Oryzias latipes: one gene and its partners. The protein of the gene in region 1 purifies or fractionates together with the protein of each later gene. This does not show direct contact. Links are inferred from orthologs where the notes say so. Each region holds a gene or a part of one and is shown in the gene's direction. Other genes may lie near its edges. The genes, in order: plekhm1, vps41, vps39 and vps33a.

The links.
Region 2: the proteins of plekhm1 (region 1) and vps41 purify together in Homo sapiens (affinity purification with western blotting; 4 studies listed by BioGRID and IntAct, with this or other methods). This does not show direct contact. The link is inferred for Oryzias latipes from reciprocal best matches to the Homo sapiens genes PLEKHM1 and VPS41.
Region 3: the proteins of plekhm1 (region 1) and vps39 purify together in Homo sapiens (co-immunoprecipitation; 3 studies listed by BioGRID and IntAct, with this or other methods). This does not show direct contact. The link is inferred for Oryzias latipes from reciprocal best matches to the Homo sapiens genes PLEKHM1 and VPS39.
Region 4: the proteins of plekhm1 (region 1) and vps33a purify together in Homo sapiens (affinity purification with western blotting; 3 studies listed by BioGRID and IntAct, with this or other methods). This does not show direct contact. The link is inferred for Oryzias latipes from reciprocal best matches to the Homo sapiens genes PLEKHM1 and VPS33A.

Annotation. Positions count from the first base shown.
Region 1 is NC_019877.2:16,181,476-16,186,983, forward strand, and holds the end of plekhm1 (pleckstrin homology domain-containing family M member 1), read left to right. Parts: coding exon 1-82; intron 83-2,105; coding exon 2,106-2,299; intron 2,300-2,404; coding exon 2,405-2,468; intron 2,469-2,540; coding exon 2,541-2,698; intron 2,699-3,125; coding exon 3,126-3,234; 3' UTR 3,235-4,228; downstream 4,229-5,508. UniProt on the Homo sapiens protein: Acts as a multivalent adapter protein that regulates Rab7-dependent and HOPS complex-dependent fusion events in the endolysosomal system and couples autophagic and the endocytic trafficking pathways.
Region 2 is NC_019878.2:20,694,253-20,700,423, reverse strand, and holds the start of vps41 (vacuolar protein sorting-associated protein 41 homolog), read left to right. Parts: upstream 1-2,671; 5' UTR 2,672-2,854; coding exon 2,855-2,875; intron 2,876-3,118; coding exon 3,119-3,157; intron 3,158-6,171. UniProt on the Homo sapiens protein: Plays a role in vesicle-mediated protein trafficking to lysosomal compartments including the endocytic membrane transport and autophagic pathways. Acts as a component of the HOPS endosomal tethering complex.
Region 3 is NC_019880.2:24,621,690-24,627,197, reverse strand, and holds part of vps39 (vam6/Vps39-like protein), read left to right. Parts: intron 1-1,523; coding exon 1,524-1,644; intron 1,645-1,717; coding exon 1,718-1,844; intron 1,845-2,719; coding exon 2,720-2,862; intron 2,863-2,934; coding exon 2,935-3,075; intron 3,076-4,504; coding exon 4,505-4,646; intron 4,647-5,326; coding exon 5,327-5,413; intron 5,414-5,493; coding exon 5,494-5,508. UniProt on the Homo sapiens protein: Regulator of TGF-beta/activin signaling, inhibiting SMAD3- and activating SMAD2-dependent transcription.
Region 4 is NC_019867.2:18,255,593-18,261,718, forward strand, and holds the start of vps33a (vacuolar protein sorting-associated protein 33A), read left to right. Parts: upstream 1-2,358; 5' UTR 2,359-2,362; exon of another isoform or gene 2,363-2,535; intron 2,536-3,410; 5' UTR 3,411-3,456; coding exon 3,457-3,558; intron 3,559-3,798; coding exon 3,799-3,864; intron 3,865-3,954; coding exon 3,955-4,082; intron 4,083-4,196; coding exon 4,197-4,383; intron 4,384-6,126. Other genes in the region: rabphilin-3A, read right to left, coding at 2,278-2,358.

The DNA of each region.
Region 1 (5,508 bases):
CTACTGCGACTCCTGCCACATTGGGGACACCAGCATCATACCATCGCGTATGCTGCACAACTGGGACCTCATTCCACGAGAGGTGATTGCAACACACTTATTATTTTACTGGTAAACATGGAGAGGAAAATCCAACCATCCATTTTCTGAACCCACTGGGTCCCTTCTGAAATAGTAAAGACCCACCCTCCAATCAATTTGGAGGGTGAGTCTTTACTATTTTGATCTGACCAGATTGATCAGTTTAAAAGCATTCCCACAGATTTTCAACTCCCTCCAAAGATTTTCTATGGGGCTGAGATGTGGAGACTAACTGGGCCACGCCAGGACCTTGAAATGCTTCTTACGAAGCCACTCCTTTGTTTCCCATGCAGTGTGTTTGGGATCGTTGTCAATTTGAAAGACCCAGCCATGTTTCATCTTCAATGCTGATGGAAGGAATTATTCACTCAAAATCTGATTATACATGGATCAGTCATCCTGTTCCCTTTGCTGAAAAACAGCCCCAAAGCAGGATGTTTCCATCTCCATCCTTTACAGTAGGGATGGTGTTCTTTGGATGCAACTCAGCATTCCTTATCCTCCAAACATGACAAGTAGAATTCTTACCAAAAAGTTCTGTTTTGGTTTCATCTGACGATAGGACATTCTCCCAAGTCTTTTCTGGATCATCCAAATGCTCTCTAGCAAATGTTAGACGGGCCTGCACAAGTACTGGCTTTAGCAGGGGGACACAGCTTGCACTGCAGGATTTGAGTCCCTGGCGCTGTAGTATGTTATTGGTGGTAGCCTTTATTACTGTGGTCCCTGGTCCCAGCTCTCTGCAGGTAAATCACTATGTCCCCCCGTGTGGTTCTGGGACTTTTGCTCCCCGTTTTTGTGATCATTTTGACCCCACGGGGGGAGATGCTGTGGGAAGCCCCAGATTGAGTTTTTAGTGATCTTATTAGTCTTCCTTTTCCTTTTAATTGCTCCCACAATTGATCTCTTCACACCAAGCTGCTTACTAGGGATGTCCCGTTTGACGTTCAGCGTGTTTCGGCACAATGTTTTGGGGTGTGTGTCAACTAGCGCCGATCACGTGGTTGATGACGTATGAAGCGCCAAATGCTTCGTTTGGTCGAACCACGGTTCAGATGTCTCTTACGTTTTGAACAGTTGGGCGCGCTATTCTCTAGAAATACAAATGAATCCCGAATGTTTCCCGACAAGTTCTATTGTTTCCCCAAGATTGGAATCAGTGTCAGTTCATTGCACTTTATCATGGCTCCTTGTAAATAACGTACTGTGGCTCGGGATCATTTCAACTCGATTTCTCCGAATATAACAATACACTATGATCATTGTGTATATAAAAATACTTCATTAAATCTATAATGGCAAGCTGAATTTGTGTCAGTAGAGATGGCTCAGGGGAACATTCGGTGGGGAATGCATCCAAGGGTCCTGAGTTCAAGACCGGTGTTTGACAATTTAATTTTTTATATTTTTTTGCTTTGCGTTTATTTTCTTCATGTGATGTGTATTTTGCTGTGTCAAGCACCTCACAGAAAACATCAAATGTTGTGTTGTTTTACGTTGTTTTTTTTCTAATCATCATTAACAACATTGTTTTGATTTACGTTTTTTCATCATTTCCACATTGAAGTGTTACAAGGAGCTTAGTTGAAACATATGTCTATGTACGTCCAGTCCGCCACCAGATGCCGCTGTTCTGTGTAGTTTCAAAGCCCTGAATCGGTGGTTCATTTTTCCAGCACAATTACATGAACCCCAAGGGAAGCTTCATGGGGCTTCAATTCCCATCCCTATTGCTTACCTATTGCAGATTCAGTCCTCCCAGCCTGGTGCAGGTCAACAATTTGGTTTTTGGTGTCCTTAGACAGCATGGTCTTGACCATAGCAGAGTTTGGAGTGTGACAGGTGTCTTTTATATACATAATGAGTTCAAACAGGTGCCATTAATACAGGGGGACTGGGGGACAGAGAAACCTCTTACAGAAGAAGTTAAAACACAGAAAACACAATTTTCATTGGAGTTGGGGTTGACTTTGCTGAACAGAAGACATATTACTGGTTTAATCTAAAATGTTGTTTTTGTTCAGGTGTCAAAGAGAGCCATGCGTGTTCTGACCCACATACATCATGAGCCTCTGCTGAACCTGGAGCTGCTAAACCCTGAGCTGGTGAAGCATTCAGAGTCCATGGCACAGGTCCACAACCTGCGCAACAGGTTGCGTCTGCTGGGTGATTATCTGCTCACCTGCCGCAGTGGAGCATACAAACATCTCCAAGACAGGTGGGTCTTTACTATTTTGATCTGACCAGATTGGGTTCAGCATTGGATTTTTTATTTTTTTTACCTGTAGTGTCAGTCCACATTTGTTTTGTTTTTTCTCTTCAGAACGGAGCAGCGCACATACCTGTTCGAGTCAAGTCACCTGTACAGTATCATGGATCTACGACAGGTAGTTAGGCTGCACCAACAAGTGCCAATAGGGCAACACTTGAAGGCTTTAACCTTTTTCTTTTCCTCCTAGATTGCAGAAGGCTACTATTCAAGCTTTCTGATCATGCTGGTGCAGCATGCCACTAAGCATGTGCTCAACTGTGACCTGTGCTCTCAGCGGGGCTTCATTTGCCAGATTTGTCACTCTGATGATATCCTCTTCCCCTTCCAGTTCGAAAGCACCTTGAGGTATGATAATCTGATCATTTTATCTTTTCTCATCATTTTATAATTCTGGTCCAAACTACAGATTAAACATAGATGGAGAACATGTTAGATATGGTGAAATGAGGGTTTTCTTTGAAGAATGTTCTGTAGCATGATCCATGAAATGACATTGATCCACATTTCCCTTAAAACCATTAACAAAACACCCGATGTGCTAAAATCATGAACTGAAACTGTATTTTACTTAAAATAACCATCCAAAACTTTAGTTGACAGGCTTTTTTCAATGTCCTGGAGTGTCTGCTGTTTTTTACCATAAATCATAAGTTGTTCTTAGACATTTTTATTTTTATAAAGTTTGATTCTTTACTTTTATAACAGTGAGAAAAGGATTGTTTTTGTGTTTTTGCTGTGAGTCATGCAATTTCCCTTATTCTTTTTTAATCAGGTGTAAAGATTGTAAAGCTGTATTCCACACCGCCTGCAAATCTGCGGGCCGCTCCTGTCCTCGCTGTCAGCGAATGAAGAAATACCTGGAGAGGGATCTGCAGGACTGAGAGCTCCAGCTCTTTAGCTGATGTGAAATCAGTTCCTGGCTTTAAAAAATAAAAATAAAAATCCATACACCTATTTAACCTAAAGTGCAATTATTAGTCCAATCAGCCTGCCCTGCCTGAAAAACATCAACTACGGCTCGAAAGCCTGAGTGCCACAGTAGCTCAGACCTTTGCACTAATTTAGAAGGAAACATTCTGATATAATGCAGCCAAAAGTTGCTAACAAGTGATGTTATTGCTTCAGTAACATCTGATTTAGCCACGGCTTCCAAACAAAGGGGGGACAAAGGCAAGCATGAACTTAATTTAAAACTTTTTGTACTTCATTTGGTGTCAAACAACACTCTACAAAAGCTCTATGATTGAGATTGTGCCTTTTTGATTTTTAGCTTTACTGTATTGTCTCATATGTCACAGTTGTTGGTTTAAAATGAAATGTAGCATTATTTGTTTTGTGGAATTATGATTTCGTGAATGTTTGGAATTGGGTATTGACACAGGAGAATAAATACTTTTCTCCTTGTGTCCTGCAGCATGATCCATGTAATTCTTGTGGTGCACTAACTGGGAACTTAAGTTCAGATAAATTAAAAACAAGATGTCTAAAACGTATTGGAAATATACAATTGGGAGTATTTGCAATGTTCAGCTCAAAGGAAGTAACACATTTTGCATATTTGCACTTGGTTCTGACTGTTAAATGAATGCTTCTGCCAGAATACATTTTAGCACATGATTCTAACTTGAAGAGAAGCTATTTGGTTTTCTGGTGGAAGACTTTTGTGCATCACTTTTTCCTTTATCTTGACAAATTTAAAAGGAATATAAATAATATCAATACATTTCTGGTCAAGGTGCCAAGAATAAAATTCTCTACATGTTTACTAAAAAAAAATCCTGAACATATTAAATTCAAGGGAAAAATCCTGAAATGCTGTTATATCTGGTTTGTATTTATTTAACTTCATCCTATTCATAAACTATTGTAAATTAAGTATGTTTGTGTTGTTTTGTTTTTTTCTTGTAGACAGAACTCCACTGCTGCTATCTCCATGAAATTGGATAAGACAGACTGTTGTATTAAAGTATAGCAACTCAAAACTGCTAGCAACACTTGAATAGAGCTAACAATGAAAGAATTATTGTATAAGTTTTCCAAATTGATAAATCAATAAGGTTTTTATTTTTCCTTCTAATAAATGTCAATACACTGAATCTTTTTTTTAAGAATTTGTAAATATCTAATACAACAAACTTTTGTTATAAATTTTAACATGAACAATTTTCAAGGTTACCATAGTAGAACCTTGTTTCTCGTTAAAAATCAAAAATTCTAGTGAATTAATGTCATAAAAATCCAGATTTTTGGAGATTCAAAATCTATTTTCAACCCAAACTCATACTTTCATATTATGGACTCCTAAACAGTTAATATTTAAATAAATAAATATGACCCTGTGCAAATACACAATCAACCAATATATCTCTCATAAATATATAAAAAAGGTCTTATAAAAAATCCCCCCCCTCCCAGAAAATGCCTCCTTGATCCTAGTAAAACATAGAGTAGTATGAAGGATACATACTGTTATGAATGGCTTAAAAGATTAAAGTTCAAATAATTATTGAAAAATAATGTACAACAAATGTGAACATATTTGACCGTCAACAATTTTCATGACATTACAAATAAAATAAAAAATGAAAACTTAAAAACTCTTCCAGTTTTAGTCATTAAAAAGTAACATTTTTGCAAACAGTATTGTAATTAAGTTTTTCTGTTGACCTATTATCAAGAACATTAGAACCACCACTAGAGGGCGCAACCCAGTTACGGGTACAACACAGAAGCACAACAAACTCAACTCCCAAAGAAAGTAAATATTGAAGTAACCTGCTTCTTGCTTTGGAATAACTAGTTTAAAGTTGAAGTTAAATCAAGAAAAGACTGAGCTGAACTGAACTGTGCACTTATTTAACTAGTGTGTAACAGGCTCACAATTATTGGGTCAAAGCCAATAATTGTGTTTGCACCAATATATTTTATCAAATAATGCATTTATCTTCTAACAAATCATCTAAAAAAACTGTGAAGCAAAAGGGTTCACTTTTATTTTGAAAAAATGTGCATATGATTGTCTCTAATTTAGTTTTTAAAAAATTCCCTAATTCAAGCTTTTGTTACGAAGAAAATGCAAAAGATATTAATCAAAATAATTGCTGAGATATAGAAATAATACTCAAGTTGAAAATTACAAATCTTACTTATTACTC
Region 2 (6,171 bases), on another chromosome or scaffold:
ACAAACTAATAAATCATAGTTTTTTTTACGTTATTGTGTTTTGTTTATCTTTTATTAGTAATTAGTGCAATAATCTGAAGCTCAGTAAGACCTTTTTTAGTGCCATAAAGTCTGACTGTCTGTCACACATCTAGGTGTGTGAAATTTGTTCTCCACATTTGACCCATCCCCTGGGGGAGCGGTGATCTGCGGACACAGCTGTGCTTGGGAACCATTTGGTGGCTTAACCCCCCAATCCAACCCCTTAATGCTGAGTGTCAAGCTGGGAGGCATTGGGTCCCATTTTTAAGGTCTTGGGTTTGAACCCATGGCCTTCCAGTTACTGGGCAGACACTCTATAACCACAAGGCCACTGAGCTGGCCTACAATAAAAGAGTGGACTACGATAAAAAGTGATATAAATATTTTCTATACTTCGATGTAATATAGCAGTTTTGGAATTTGAAAGCTTCTTGACTTCGAATTTTTGAAACTCCTGTGTATTTTTTAAAAATTATGAGAATACAAGAGTAGATTAGCACAAGAGAACGCTATGTATAATCGTGCATATCATCACTACTTACTTAAATGTTATGCTAAAGGATATTCAATTACAGGTTTCATAAAAAATCCTTAAGATAAACTTAATGACTGATTAAAAGGTCACTACTGAGCATCTGCTACTACATCAATAAGCCTTTCATCCAACAGTCCAATACGGATAATCTCAAAGCAATGAAATGATGTATGTTTATTAATTAGTTGCACTGAGTGATCACCCTGAGATACGGATGTCTAATGTAGTTTGTTGGATAATAATTTGTCTCCCCCTTAGGGTTATAACTCAAACTGTTATCTTTCTAAAAGAAATAAATCATTTTCCTCATACGAAAGCATCACAAAATCCTATTTTCTTTTCAAATTATTCTACTCTTTTATGTGAAGCAGTAAATTTAGTGTAAGTAAATTTTTAAAAGTGAATGCAAGCTGAGGCAAAACTTAAAAAAGATATATATATTTTTTTCCCTGAGCTTGTTGATATGATCAACAGTCCTACCTCTCCTCTCTGCTAAAGCTAAAATGCTCCCCAGTGGACGGTCGGTGGGTCAGTGAGGGCTGAAGGCTATCAAAGCAGTGTATTAAAAGGAGCTCTTTGAAGCTTGTAAACCATGGTGCCCAGCAGCAGGTCCACAACAGACAAGAGCCTCTGATTGGTCAGGTGTGTGTGTGTTTTTGGCTAAATCGATCCACAGAGCTGACATTCTCAAGCATCAAAGCTTCTGGTGCACTAATCTTGCTCCACGTACGCAAGCAAGAGTTGTTTGTGTAATTTTGCCTTTTTTTTTTGTCTATGAGATGCTTATATCTTAGTGCAGCTCATGCTTGCTTAAGATTGTAGGGTTAGTGGACCGCGTTTTAATGGTTTCAAAGGGAATGGACACGTATAGAATTAAGCCCAAGCCGTATTTATCCACCACTAAATAATGCAGCACTATAAAGAGGGAAGTGTAGAGATGTGGAGAATCAGAGGCCTTCCGCTAGATGCACCATTGGCAGCAGAGTGACACCACAGAGATTCACACACAGCTGCTCCTCAAAGTCAGTTTCCCCCTTTCACCGTCTCTGGAGACCTGGACCACATACACACCAGTGAAAGGTGTGAAAATCTGATTTCCCAAAAAGGATCGGTAATTCTCTGTGAGGGTGGAAGCCGCAATCAATAAATCATTGGTAAGCAGATTGTAAAGAAAGAAAAAAAAGAGATCCCCGTTTGGTATCAGTGCATTAGGATTCTCCTGAGGATGAATGAAGCAGGACGGAGGTGTGAGACAATCTCAATAAAAAAGAAGGAACTCAAACCTTTGGAATCCATCTGAACTATGAAATGTCAGTATTGTGACAAAAGAGCGCACTTTAACGTTGAAAAAGTCTGCAAATGTACACAACAAATGAGTAGTTAGATTAAACGTGTATCGTCTTTTCCCTAGCTTTTAACAAAAGACCCCAAAACATCCTTAAAATGGATTAAGCAGAAATGGAAAGGTTTTTTTTAATGTAAAGCAATTTAACTGTCTTATATTTTTCAGTAATTTAATGTTAACCATTTAAAAAGCCATTTATTCCTTCCATATAAGGTAGGAGTACATGATGTGGCACATCTATTGAATGAAAAATGTCTCTATATTCCCTACTTTCCTGTATCCTCTGTTTCTCTTCGGAAAATAGGATATGAAATATGATATTTACTGTGTTTACTTATTGTTTTGTTCTTTTTTTTCCGCAACTACCAAATGGGCCAATGGGCTTGTGTCAAAAATGTGTTCTCATAAAAGCTTAAAGAATAAATTAAAATTATTTTTGACCTACATATAAGGCACAAAAAGCAATATAATATAATATAATACGACTACTTTTGCTTTTATAATTGTATATTAAACTATATTCCTAACACGTGTTTTGAGCTCGGACAGAACATTTTTATCCAGAACTCCTTTTTTTCAGTATTAGTAATTTTAAACTTATAAGGCTGACAATATTCGGTAACTGAGAACTTGAAACATATAAAACTATTTTAATGCTACCTACTTCAGCTGCACTCGTTTTGGCAGCAGACGTCTTCAACTCCTTGCTTGAAACAAACGCTGTTACGTTTGACTACAATACCCAGATTGCCTCGCGGTTTTTGCATTAGTCATGTGATTCAGTGATTCATGTGAGCAACAAGACTGCTCCGTCAGTAAACATCGCATTCTACTGCCTTATTATACGTGCTTTTGCCACAAACATAGTTTGTGTGCGTAATTTAATATGTGTTTCTGCAATTGACACTGATCAAAAACATCTGCTTTCGGAATTTATCGCTATTGGAACCATAATGGCGGAAGTGCAAGAAAAGGTGAGGATAGCATGCTAAAGCTAGCTAGCTTATGATCGTTTTATACGTGTTTTTTTTAAAGAATGACAAATGTTTTGTTAATATTTATGAGATTTTTATTCTGATTTTGATTGTTACCTACAATTCGTGTAAAATTTATTTTAACGAAGGTTTGGGGTTGTTTTAGTTTTAATGATCTTGTTATTTATTTTTCAAACTAGAGAATTTAAAGATCAAACATTTTGATTGTGATTCTTCTTTAAGGATAAAAAGCCAAGCGAGGAATGTACTGATGAGTCTGAGGTAAGAAGCTTAGAATTGTATTATTTTGTGCCGTTTTTTTTTCCTTATTTTATTTACTTAACTTAAACGCTGCTTCAATTTCCTGTTTTCTTCTTTTCTTTTTGTTTTTGTTTTTAACAACTTGAACGTGGAAGTATTTTTTAAGTGTTGCAAAGTTATAAAGAAGCTTACTTTAAGTTTATGGTAGACAAGCATTAGCTGCCAATCACAGCAGGACAGGACTACATTCTTTCCTTTTCATTTTAAGAATAGAAATAAATTAACACATTTCAGAGAAGGGCTGCTTTGAATCTTCAGAATTCTCACATAAAAAAGTTGGGTGAAAAACACATGTATAAATCTTTTAGAAAACAAAATGTCTATATTTTTGACATTCTTTTTGGAGGCTGTTTCAGGACAGAGTCCTCATTGTCATGTTCAAGAAACCAGTCTGAGATGATTCCACCTTTATGAAAGGGCGCCTTATCCTGCTGGAAGTAGCCATTGGAAGATGTAGTCATAAAGGCATGTACATGGTTAGCAACAATACTCAGCGTTGTGGCTTTGTATCCATGCTAGAATGGTACTGTGGGTCCAAAAAAAATATTCCCCACACCATTACACCACCACCAGCCATAACTGTTGATACAAGGCAGGATTGATTCCCGCTTTGACGCCAAATTCTGACCCTACCATCCAATTGTCGCCGCAGGAATGGAGAATTATTCAGCCCAGGCAACGTTTCTCCAATCTTCTAGTGTCACGTTTTGGTGAGCCTGTGTGAGTTGTAGCCTCAGACAGTTTCCTGTTCTTACCTGACATGAGTGAAACCCGGTGTGGTCTTCTGCTGCTGTAGCCCATCTGCCTCAAGGTTGGACGTGTTGTGTGTTCAGAGATGCTCTTCTGCAGACCTCAGTTGGAACCCTGTTGCCTTTCTATCAGCTAGAATCAGTCTGGCCATTCTCTTCTGACCTCTGGCACCAACAAGGCATTTCTGCCCACAGAACTGCTCACTGGATCTCTTTTTGTTTTTTTGGACCATTCTCTGTAAACCCTAGAGATAGTTGTGGGTAAAAATCCCAGAAGATCAGCAGTTTCTGAAATATTCAGACCAGCTTGTCTGGCACCAACCACCATGTCTTGTTCAAAGTCACTTAAATCCCCTTTCTTCCCAGTTTGGTTTAGACTGCAGCCATGTCTACATATGTCTAAATGCATTGATGTGCTGCCATGTGATTGGCTGATTTGCCGTTGGACAGATGTGCCTAAAAAAGTGGCCAGTGAGTGTATAGTAACATTTGTTACTGGTCCCAGCGCTGTTCAGGTTATTGACCAGTTCACCTTATATGTTGCATGTACAGTACTACAAGCAAATATATCTTTATTTAAAAAAAAACAAAATAAGGAAAAATTCTATAACACACCAGTTAAAGTCAAAAATATTTGGTTTGATTAAACTATTTTCTTTAAAATTCATTCAAAAAAATGCTCACACTCAGCATCCAGCTTTCTCTATAGAACTCACACCTTTAAGTATGTATTTACAACAAAAAACCTTTACAGATCAAAGCTTTTCCATTCACTTGCAAAATGAGGGGCAAATTACTTAAAAAGCAACTCCGGCTGGATGAAGCTCGTCTGCTGGACTTTATATATGTGGTTGTAGAGTTAGATAAGTTAATTCTTCTCTAAGAGTTCTGGTAAATCGCCTATCCGTCCTGGGGGAGGATCCCTCCTTCATGTGGGGACCCCTGAGGTTTCTCTGTTTTTTCCGGAATCCGTTTTTTTTAAGGAGTTTTTCCTAAAAGGTCTAAGGGCAGGGATGCCAGTATAGCTTAGTCAGTTTGTTAGTTCATTTTAGTATTTTCCTATTGAACTCTATGTATTTATGATCCTTTTGAGTTCATGTTTCACTTTTGCAATTACCGATACGGAGCCCATTGAGACGACTGTTGTTGTGAATTTGGGCTATACAAATAAAATTGAATTGAATTGAATAGAAAGGTTGGCAGTCATTATTAGAAAACTATTGAACTGAAGATGTTAACCTCATAGCTGAAGGGATTTTAATTTTCCTTTCAAATTGAATTAAGTCCTTTGTATCTTCTGAAGGATAGCCATCATGTATAACTCAAAGGCAGCTGCGTTAGTGTAGCATAATTTTCATTCGCGTTTGTTTTAAAAGCTTTTGTTGAAGTGGACATTCCTATTTTTCTTATCCTGCTAGATGGCGACAACCGGCGTCGTCTCTGTGCGCTCTGCAGAATGTTATCCTTGATGCAGTCCGACTGAATAGTTCAACCTGTTGTATTTAAACTGTCAATAGGCAAGAAAAATGGCATAAATGGCTTCAAGATAAAGGCCAGTGTGGCAGTGGAGAAAACAAAGGGCAACTTACAAGAGATGGGAAAAGTTTTAAAATGGGGATTTTCTCTGTGGGGATGAAGTTTGCCTTTGTTGTTTGATACGCCTTTGAAATCCGTGACAAATGCCCTCGCATCAGAAATCTCACAACCAGAATACACAGGAAATAGCCTAGATATGGCGTTGTTGAGTGGGAAAGGATTGTTTTTGAAAATAACATTTTTTCCACGCTATTGTCCCCCACCTCCAACCCAGTAGCACATAATGGCAGACAATGTTTTGAGTTGATGCACCCTCTGGGCAGCCACAGACTGTGCAGTATTGGTTATAAACCGAATTATGAGTAATATTCAGGCTGTGACTGGCTGCAAATGTTGACTCATGCTGGAAAGTGTAACACAGTAGAATACTTTAAGTTTGCTTTATGAAAACAATAAATTCACGCGTCTCACTGGGGATAAACGGCATTGAGAAAAGATGAAAAATTGTTGTTTTAGGCCTTTCATGCAAGGTAATGAAAATTTGTCCCTTTTTTGGGTATCTCCTACACATATACATGTAAACACTTCTCAAAATAGATTGGTTCTATGCAGAAATACTCTTTCTTGATACAATGACAGAACTCATTTTATTTAGCCAATAGCATATAAAGGTATGAATCCAAATAACAC
Region 3 (5,508 bases), on another chromosome or scaffold:
GGCTCCTGCGGGTCGTTGGGGCTCTTACGGGTCGTTGGGGCTCCTGCTGGTCGTTGGGGCTCCTGCTGGTTGTTGGGGCTCTTGCGGGTCTTTGGGGCTCTTGCGGGTCGTTGGGGTTCCTGCTGGTCGTTGGGGCTCCTGCGGGTCGTTGGGGCTCCTGCTGGTCGTTGGGGCTCCTGCTGGTCGTTGGGGCTCCTGCTGGTCGTTGGGGCTCCTGCTGGTTGTTGGGGCTCTTGCGGGTCGTTGGGGCTCTTGCGGGTCGTTGGGGCTCCTGCGGGTCGTTGGGGCTCCTGCTGGTCGTTGGGGCTCCTGCTGGTCGTTGGGGCTCCTGCGGGTCGTTGGGGCTCTTACGGGTCGTTGGGGCTCCTGCTGGTCGTTGGGGCTCCTGCTGGTTGTTGGGGCTCTTGCGGGTCTTTGGGGCTCTTGCGGGTCGTTGGGGTTCCTGCTGGTCGTTGGGGCTCCTGCGGGTCGTTGGGGCTCCTGCTGGTCGTTGGGGCTCCTGCTGGTCGTTGGGGCTCCTGCTGGTCGTTGGGGCTCTTGCGGGTCGTTGGGGCTCTTGCGGGTCGTTGGGGCTCTTGCGGGTCGTTGGGGCTCCTGCGGGTCGTTGGGGCTCCAGCTGGTCGTTGGGGCTCCAGCTGGTCGTTGGGGCTCCTGCGGGTCGTTGGGGCTCCTGCGGGTCGTTGGGGCTCCTGCTGGTCGTTGGGGCTCCTGCTGGTTGTTGGGGCTCTTGCGGGTCGTTGGGGCTCCTGCGGGTCGTTGGGGCTCCTGCTGGTTGTTGGGGCTCTTGCGGGTCGTTGGGGCTCCTGCGGGTCGTTGGGGCTCCTGCTGGTTGTTGGGGCTCTTATGGGTCGTTGGAGCTCCTTTTGACTGCTTATGTTCTTGTTGTCCTTTAGTTTACTTGAGCTAAATTTTATATTGGCATTAAAAGCTTACAGATTACACAGATATTTTGTAGCTGTACCCCAGAGTGGACCCTGTAGTGCAGGTGTCAAACTCAAGGCCTGCAGGCCAAATGTGGCCCTCCATGTCATTTTATGTGGCCCACGACAGCATAAAAGTTTGTAATCTCTTAAAATAAAAAATAAAAATTGGTGTGTATTTCTTCATATCCAGGGGGAATCTGACTTGAAATATCGGATTGGGCTTAAACACTGAGTAACAAGCAAACATATGTTTTATATGCAACTGTAATTGTCACTTTAAAAAGTTATAATAAATAAATAATTAGTTATTTAACATTAAGGAGTGGGTATATTTATTATTCACTACATTTAGTTACATGTATAAATTATATCTGGCCCTTTCAGGACAGACACTATGCTGATGTGGCCCTCAGTGAGTTTGACCCCCCCCCCTGCTGTAGTGATATGTAAACAGGCATCGAATGTTTAGGTTTTATTTTCAGTTTTAGGAATCCAATTAGTTATTTTTCTTACTATTTTGAATCCTGTTGATGTTTGTTCCTTCAGAGTAAGACTTTTCTTCGTCAGAACAGTTCTCAGCCTGTCGTTTCATCTCTTTAGACCCAACGTTGTGTATGTAGCCAGCAACCACTTCGTGTGGCGTCTGGTTCCCGTGCCGATAGCCAACCAGATCCGGCAGCTTCTTCAGGACAAGCAGTTTGAGCTGGCTCTCCAGCTGGCGGTGAGATCCCGATCCAGACATCGTATCTTCAAACAGGATGTTCCGGTTCATTCTTTGTTTCTGTTGTCGAAAGATGAAGGACGACTCTGACGGAGACAAGAAGCAGCAGATTCATCACATCCAGAATCTTTACGCCTTCAACCTGTTTTGCCAGAAAAGATTCGACGAGTCCATGCAGGTGTTTGCCAAACTCGGCACAGGTAGGATGGATGTTTGGGTCCTGGAGTGACTAGTAGAATAGCCCTTGTGCTATCTTGTGGGGTCAAAATGACCCCCCCCCCCCCCCCTTACATTGACGTGTTCTCCCTACCATGACAAAGGTGGATAAAGGTGGAAAGATTTCATGTAATCCATGGACACCAGTGAAGATCACAAATCATTGAAGAAAAAAGGTTCAGAGCACTGTCCAGTGGGTCTAGATGACCCAACTCCCAATGTTAAAGTGTCCAGGATAGCACAAGGGTTAGAGCAGCAAAGAAAAGAGGTGATGCTGCAATGTTAGTAAAGCAGAAGCTAAAGTTTAGAGAAGAAGAGAAACTCTGAAGAACAGCACAGCTGTTCTTCAGAGTTTCTCTTCTTCTCTAAACTTTACTGACATTGGAGCATTCGCCTCTTTATCACCCCAACACCAAAAAAACGTCCCACAAAGTCAATAAACTGAAGCAAAGGCGTCTGCAGGGACCACCACGGGGGTCCAGTCTCTGCCCTCAGCTCAACCTAAAGGAGAAGAAGTTTGATGAGACAAAATCTGATATATGATGAGAGATCTTTAGCTCTGCTGCTCCAGATTCTGCTTTTCTTTGTAATCAAGCCCTGCAGCCACGCCCCACCAAACTAAAAGGAGAATTTATTTAAAAGGACAATGAAAAGTTCTTTTCTTCCTGGTGAGCCAGGACAGTTTTACACTAAACCAGTGAGTCTGCAGGCTTTAAGCACACTTCAGTCTTTGAGGGTTTATTAAATATTTTTTTAACTGATCTAACATTTTCTCGTTTACTTTTTGGGGAAATGTTTTGTTCTTGTTCTTAAAATGCTCCGTGAGGTGTGTTGTAGAAATCCTCTCCTCGTTTGGCAGATCCCACCCATGTGATCGGACTGTACCCAGAGTTACTGCCGTCTGATTACCGCCGGCAGCTGCACTACCCCAACCCGGTCCCCAGCCTTTCCGGGCCGGAGCTGGAGAAGGCTCACCTGGCTCTGATCGATTACCTCACGCAGGTGCGAATCCGTCCACCTCCTGAAAACGGCCGCGTGACACCACCCTCTGACATCCCAACCTCTCTGCTGCAGAAACGAAGTCACCTGGTCAAGCAGCTGAACGACTCCGACCCGTCCACCACGTCGCCGCTCATGGAGGGCACGCCCACCATCAAAAGCCGCAAAAAGCTGCTGCAGATCATTGACACCACCCTACTGAAGTGTTACTTGCATGTGAGGGACACGTCTTTGGTTCACAGTTGACCTGAGATGAGTCATTTTAAGGCTACCGGCCCTAACTGTTGGGAGAAGCTCCGCCCCCAACACCCCCCACCCCACCATTATCCACACACACACAAACATACAGATCCATGCTTACGCTGCTTGGTACAAACAGAAATGTGAAACATTTTGATTTGATTTGATTTGAAATGGTTTATTTCAAGCAATCAAATAGGAGTAATACACACAAAAGCAATATAATCATCAGTTATACATTCATACAGTAACTAATCAAACTTAGGATAATTAGACATAATTAATAAAAATTGCTTGAAAGGGAGTGGAAAGAAGCGAACTTATATAATCCCACCCCGTTATACTATAACCATTTTATTACATGATTTATCAATATCCGGTTCCTAGGTTTTATCAGACAGAATTAATAATCATAAGGTATCAATAAAGCAGATGCCAAAGATGAAATTACTTAAGTACTACGTCAAAAATAACTTTAGAAATCAACATGGCAAATGCAGCATCTGAAATATATGCAAATTATGTTACTTTTAAAAGTCATTCATATGCTTTAAAACATAATACTATACCAGTAAAATAGACACAACACTGTTTCAGGAGTTTTCATAGCAAAATTTCATCAAGTATCAAAAGTTAAAAACATGTGCAAAATTATGCTACATTAGGAAAGATTTTTGAATCATTTTATCAATTTTATTCATACGCACAAACTTAATAGTAACTAAAAAATAAACTGCATCCACTGCAGAGCCTGTCGGCCACTATTGTCTTTCACAGGCAGAGGCGGGGGGATGAACTCTTGCTGTTGCGCAACAAAACACACAAGAATTGCATCAAAAAATGTTGACATTACCCCCCATGCTGCTCCTCACTGCCCCCTGTGGCCCGGCCGAGTCACTGCAGTCTGAGATTTTGACCCTAAACACTGTAGATGTAGCTGGCGAGTGACACCTGAATAACACACCATCTTTGACTCCTCAACCGAGCAGCTGATTCAGGCGCAGACAAACGCAGCTTTACATTTCAGACACTTTATGTTAGTATTGTGTCGTGTGACGATGCAAAGCTGCTTTTTCTGCAGCAGGAGCAGCTGATTGATTGTGGAAACACTTCACTGACGCAAAGCGAATCCGCTTTACGGCTTTAGAATCCGCTGGAATCACGTGAAGTAAACGGTTGTAGATTTACGGCAGTGGAAAGGGTAGAAACACTGCAGCTAAAGCTTCGCTGTCAAAGGGATAAACAGGAGGCATTTTGGAAAACCATTTGCTTTGAATGGAAAAGATTTGTGAAGAAATGAGTCATTTTTTAAATTGTGCTTTTAAACCAATGAAGAATGTTGTAGGAGAATCTCAGCGCCGATGATGACGAAAATAAACCTTTGATGTTGTCCTTCCTCGCTTAGACCAACGTGGCCCTCGTCTCCCCCCTGCTGCGCTTGGAGAACAACCACTGCCACATCGAGGAGAGCGAGTACATCCTGAAGAAGGCGCACAAGTACAGCGAGCTGATCATTCTGTACGAGAAGAAGGGCCTGCACCGGAAAGGTCAGAGCGCCGCTGGAAGCCGCTTCTCCTGTCTGGAGTTGGTTTCTCTGCGTCACTGAGGCAACGAAGGGAGGAGTCATGAGGGAGGCAGACAGACGCAGGAAAAGGGTTAAAAACCCGAGTTCCTCCTCCTCCAGACCCTCAGTGCTCCACAGAGAACGTGCAGCGATGTTTAGATGTGACAGAGTCTCAAAACCTGCAGAGCAGACGTGATTGGCTGGATCCGACACAGAAACGCCACTGCAGATGTGCAGTTTGTCCTGCGTTCATGCAGATGTGTTGTAGACTCATTAAAGAGAAAAGAAGGAGCTGAATGTAAAGAGTGTAGATCCAGATGTTTGATCAGCATCTGGATGCAGATCAGACTCTGATCGTGTTCTTGGTGACACATTGACTCTCAGGTCTGCATCTTTCTTTTTGGTGAAGTCCAAATCTTCCCTGCTTCTGTATAAATGGCTGACATGGAGCCGGCTGTTGCAGTCTCTGCAGGCAGGGGGCGCTGTAGTCCAATCACAGACCGGAATCAGAGGTTTTTCCTCCAATCAGGCTTGAGGCTCCGCTTCTTCCGGATGGTTGCAGGAGTGTCCACAGAACAACCTGCTGCCAAGGCAACGTTGATGAAGCTCAACTGTGACGTTTGGAGTGACATTTGTCCCCCCCCCCCATGTTCTCTCTGGCAGCTCTGCAGGTTCTTCTGGACCAGTCCACCAAGGCCAACTCCCCCCTGAAGGGCCACGAGCGCACCGTGCAGTACCTGCAGAGGCTGGGTGACTTTCTGACTCTAACACCTTAACTGAATCATTTGAAACTCTATGTGACTCATTAACCCCGCCCCCATTCGCCACAGGGGTGGAGAACCTGG
Region 4 (6,126 bases), on another chromosome or scaffold:
CAGGCTGTAGGAGCACTCAGCTAAATGCATTCCAGCAACGGTCTGCATCGAGTCTCAAACTTGCCAGGCTGATTCATCCTTGTTCGGCCCAAAGGAAGGAGGTGGGTCTAGGAACTGGCTGCTGAAGCACTGGTCAGGAGTTCCCCGTTAATGCCTTCCCGTTTTGGCTCCAGGAAATAAGTACCACCAGATTATGGTTGACTGAAAAATCCCTCAGCGTTTTTAAATTAGCTGCAGCTGAAGATCTATGGCGATGTATTATATAGTTTGCAACATCTGAAATGATGACTCAAAACTCTGTCTGCAGGGGGAATCTGTCCATCGGAGATGCTTTTTGGCTGTTTGATATCTGACTCTCTTTTGTGCTTCTGATAAAGCGGCATGTACAACACCCTTGGGTGTTTTTAGGACACTGCAGTTGGCAGACGTGTCTGCTCCACAAAGCGCAACATGCTGAAAAAGGGCTTAGCTTGTAATAAAAATCCGTTTGAAGGTCCATCAATAAGATTTTTAGATGCAGTAAGATTTGGGTAATTACTCCAAAGCTTTAGTGTGGCCAAAACAAATGCACAGAGGTAATTATCATTACCTAAAAAGACATGCATGAAACTAAAGAAATGAATCTTTTAGAGAGAGTAGGGTTTTCTCAATACATCAGGGTTCTGTTTTTGAATTTTAACTATGTTCCCTTTATTGGGAATTTTGTTAAAACGCTGCATTAATTACCTTTGTCTTTTCCAATATGCCACACTGCTTAGGCAGCCCTAATCACCAGTTTTAGAGAGCCTTGAGAAACAATTCTCCTCCTTGATCATTTCAGGATAAAGCCACTCCCTTCCATTAAAGCTCTGTCACAGCAAACACAATCTGACTGTGGAGCAGAATTTTATCAGAAACACCTGCAGATTTACCGAGTCCAAGTTTAAACCTCCATGCCCGGATTATGAGGAATACAAATGAACACGGAGATGTGCACCTTTGACATCTGTGGCCATGGAAACAGAACAATCAATAGCTAAGAATTTAAGTGATCAAACACTTTGTGTGAGCATATGCGGACCAGGTCAGCGTTGCTGCTCACATAGTTGAAAAGCCAGTATGCTTTGAGAGGAAGAATGGCAAAAGACCTGGGATTATGGGTATGGTTGCCTAGCATTAAATAATGCAGTCAGTGTGAAAAGCACTTACTTTATTCCTCCATGTTTTTTCCACGTTTTCTGTCAGCAACCATGTTTCTTCTAAGGCTTTGTGTGTTCAGACCTAACAACCATTTTATTCATTTGCACAAAGAAATCCAGAGACAAAAAAGGGGGGGGGGGGGTGGCAGAATGAGGGTGTCGTCCAGTCACTTTAACGTGGTTGCTTTCTTGAGAGGCACAGCTCTAGATGTTACACTTCATTCTGTCTCAGCTGAATTCCCATCTCTCAGGTCTGCAGAGGGATTTAATGAACCTAAGGTTGTTGGAGTTTTTTTTTTTTTGCTACCCCTCAACAAAATTCCCTATACATGTACATATGTAGCAAACGGATTTGGTCCACTGATACCCTTTAGTGCAAGAAGACTTGATAACATCACAAGTTGACCACTGAATTGTCTGTGCAATGGCAGAGCTGGGCTAGAGGGCTGCCCTGCCCACACCAGAATCTTTAGGCATCACTAATGTCTTTACATCATAATCTGTATGTGAATCAAGCTCCATCATGTTCCCCTGCAGCAAAGCCATGAGACTGCAGCCACACAATCCTCCAAACAACTGACCAGGTTTTCTTCTTTATATCCCATGTCCAACAAGCCTTGAAGGGGATTTAAAGATTCGCCACACCATCAGGGGTTACAATAATTGATCATTCGAGACTTGAACCATGATAGAAAAACCATGCAACCTTTCTAAAATGCATGACTCACCACCACTGAATGACTGCTTTTAGTGGGGCTTTTACAACAATCAAACGCATTAGTAGTTGATCAGCTTCTTCTGGCTGTGCACATGCAGACTAACCTTCCCTTCTCAGTCAAATCAGTAACTGGCTGATGAAGACAATAAAAATGTGCTCCACCAAATAAATACGGGCTGTGAGGTACGTTCCCTCCAAAGAGATGATCCACGGGGCTTCTCTCCTGAATGAAGGGCTGCATTCATTCAACTTGTATGTGGAGGGGGAAAAAAATATTATAATCATGCACTGACTCACCGGGCAAACGCATCAACCTCAAAGCAATTTTAGTATGTAGATACGGTGTTTGAAGGGGGGCAAAAAGAAGATCGGAAACCCTACCAGAGGATCCAGTCCCTTTTTCTCTCTCTGGATGCTGTTAGAAAAAGATGCGGAGTTTGTGCAGCGCCTGCTGAATCTCATCAAAGTAAGTCATTGCGCATGGTCGTGCCTGTCACCAAATCGCGTCTTTTTTCCCTTCTTTTTTTTGTGGGTCTGGAGGGGCTATCAGAGCACAGAGCGCAGCGGATCACTATACGATGCGTGGAAACTGCTCTTCCATCCTGCGTGGAAGATGGAAAGCCCTTGGTGCCGTGGGAAGGAAACCCCTCGATCTGAAGTAATAACAAGTGGGCTGTTATCACCTGATCCAGTTGTCTATAGAACCTAAATTTATCTCCACCCAGGCAGCCTTGTGAAGGCAAACCTAGAATGATTAGTTTTTTGTGGTCGTTTTTTTAACCTAATTTTTTCTAAAGAATAATATTGGTGTCTTTGTATTTGTTTACTTTTCGATTAAATTGCATATTAAACACTATTATCACTAAAAGCTTAGACACTTTCTTCTTGTCAATGAACATTATCATGTTCCATGTGATATAAAAAATATGGGCTGTTTGCTCTCTGTGCGAACAAAAATACAATATTTCTTTGTTTTTCATTTATAAACAGGGCAGGTACCCGAGACAAATTCTCACATAATAGCGGGCTGCGCTCGATTGGAGCTGCATTTGGGTGCTTTGCTATGTCGGAGACACAGCGCCATCTAACGGCTTTGTTGTCCATTTGTTCACAGAAACACTTGAATCTATCTTCTATTGTTTTCTCCGACGCTTATTTCATTACATTATAATTTAAAAAATGACAAATATCGTAAAGAAACGCCACATTTCAAAATGTGGCGTTTAAATCTGTCGAGTCAACATTTTAATCAGGTTTCGATGCACACTGCCCCACCTAAATGTAGTAAAAGATGGCCAACGACTTGGGCTAAACCATTTCCTGTTTCGTTTATTTAAATATATTAAGTCGTTGTAGCACTATGTCTATGTGTTAATATTCCACAAAATGTATTTTTTGTTTAATTATTTTCTCTCCTTTTTCGTTTTTTAATTATGTGACTTATTTTTGTTCGTTTCCATTGTTTTTAGTCAGAATTCTCTTGTCACCGTAACCTCTTTTGTCACGTGATCCAGTCTTCCTTCCGGAATGGGTCACCTGACTTGTTGCTGATGAGGAAAGATGGCTGCTCATCTGTCTTACGGAAAAGTGAATTTAAACATTTTAAGGGAAGCTGCGAGGAAAGACCTGCGGGAATTTCTGGACAAGTGTGCAGGAAGCAAAGTAAGAAGTCGACTTATTGCGCATTGCATGACCTTAAACTACTGTATTTGTATCGAATTATCTTCTTTCAATCACAGCTTAAACGTTTTCATCAAAATGATAATTTCAGTTTAGCCAATACATAAAATATATAATACATGCTTTGTATGCCTATCTTGAGTTGAATAATCTATCATTTATATATTTGCAATTGAATGTATTACGTGTGTGATGTTAGAGTTATAATTATATGTTCTTTAGGCCATAGTTTGGGATGAGTATCTTACTGGGCCTTTTGGACTCATAGCTCAGTACTCTCTTCTAAAGGTAAGGACGGTCTCAGCAAACGTTTTGGATAGAATGATCTAATGTGGGTGTTTTTAACAGCTCTTGTCTTTTTTCCTGCTATTTCTTTAGGAACATGAGGTGGAAAAGATGTTCACCCTCAAGAGTGGGAAACTTCCCAATGCTGATGTGAAGAACATAATCTTCTTCGTCCGTCCCAGGCTGGAGTTGATGGACATAATTGCAAAGAATGTTCAGAGGTATGTCATGAGTTTCATCATTACGCTCCACAAAGTAACCAAACTGGACAAGATCCCCACTTCCTCCTTTCGCTTGTGCGTTCTGAGGATTGTTCTGGATTGTGCTCTTTTCAGTGAGGACAGACTGCATTCATCCAGAGACTTTCACATTTTGTTTGTGCCTCGGAGGAGCATGCTCTGTGAGCAGAGACTGAAGGACCAAGGCGTGCTAGGTTCTTTTATCAACATGGATGAGTATATCCTGGACCTGATTCCCTATGATGGGGATCTGCTGTCCATGGAGTATGAAAGTGCTTTCAGGGTGAGTTTAACCCTTATGTGGTGTTCGGGTCTGTGGGACCCGTTTTCATTTTTTATCAAAAGAAAAATGATACAATTACCGTAATTAATTTTTCAAACTCAGACTCACTGGCCTTGGCTCATTTTCTGTGAAGAACATATATTAGAATACATTTTTAATGACAACACACTGTATACCCCCCCAACACATTTCTATTACATATAAGATGTTCGGGTCCACTGGACCCGGGGCCAATAGAGGTGTGGAAATTGATGTTTTATGTACCTACACTCTGTCCTCCACCTGTCTGGGCCTGCTGTGTGTGTGTGGGTGTGTGTGGGGGTGTGTGTAGGTGTGTGTGTGTGTGTGTGTGTGTGTGTGTGTGTGTGTGTGTGTGTGTGTGTGTGTGACCAGTGAGAAAGAGAGAGAGAGAGTGGCAGAGAGAGAAAGATTCACTGTAAATGTGAGTTCTGTTTCTGCACCTGCGGTTCCTGCTAAAGGTTGCAACATTGTTAGAATAATTCAAGCATCAACTCTGTTTGCTCTCGTTCTCCCGCACATTTGACCATTTGACTTTCTTGCGGGAATCTTTAATATCTCGCTCGTTATCTGCTACAAATTGGAGGCGGGACACGTTAAATATAGCTTTGCCAGTGTGGTTTCTCATCACAACTGATCAAAATGGCCAATAGACTTTCTGCGCAGAGGGCCCTGGAATTGATTTTAGAAGAGAGAGACGTTTTTGATGATGATGTATAGGGAGACGATTCAGAAGAGGAGGTTTCAGAATTAGAGGATCACATTTCTGAAAATTCAGAGTCTGACAGTGACTCTGAAGAAGATGATTAGATTGGGGCGGCCGTGGAGCAGCGGTAGGGCGGTAGGCCCATGATCGTAAGATTGCAGGTTCAATTCCCGCCTTGCACACCCATGAGTCGAAGTGTCCTTGGGCAAGACACTGAACCCCACCTTGCCTCTGGTGGTAGGCGGGCGCCTGTGCTTGGCAGCGGAGCCGCCACGTGTGTGTGACTGGGTGAATGGGTCTGTGACTGTAAAGCGCTTTGTCCTTGGAGGAAGAAAGGCGCTATATAAGTATACGCAATTTACCATTTACCATTTAGATTGAGCATCAGCCAGTTCCAAAACGAAGCCATCAGCACCCAGCCACAGGACCAGGCCGTCAGCAGCCAGGACCATGTGTTGTACAGGCTAGTGGCTAGAAGGCCATGTCTTCAATGGGGCTGATGTGTTGTCTTGACTAATAGGTTTACTCTATGTGTTCAGCTTGTGTTGTGCACCTGAATGGGTTCAGTTTCTGTGTTCAAATAAATAAAAGTCAGTAGTTTTGAAAACCCTTGCTTCACTTGAAAATTTGTTTCCACTCATATCTTGATTTTAATTGATTTTCTTTATCACGTTTTAAATGAGTTATGAATGTGATCTAACAAAGGTAAAAGGCAAATATTAACCAAATATACTGATTGTAATTGGATGAGGTAAACATCCTTCGAGTATTTTAACATCAAAGTGTTTGATTGTGAGGCATTAAAAACCACAACATGCAACGGGTCCACCAGACCCACGAACACTGGCTGAGTAACAACAATATGAACACCACACAAGGGTTAAGCAGTGCACTACATTATATGCAGCAACAAAAGTGGAAACACCTCTTTCTGGTGGTTTAGGTTGACTTGTGTCATTAAAGTAGCACCGGCATGGTGAAGGACTGATGCACAACAGGATCAGCTTTAAAGACCCACT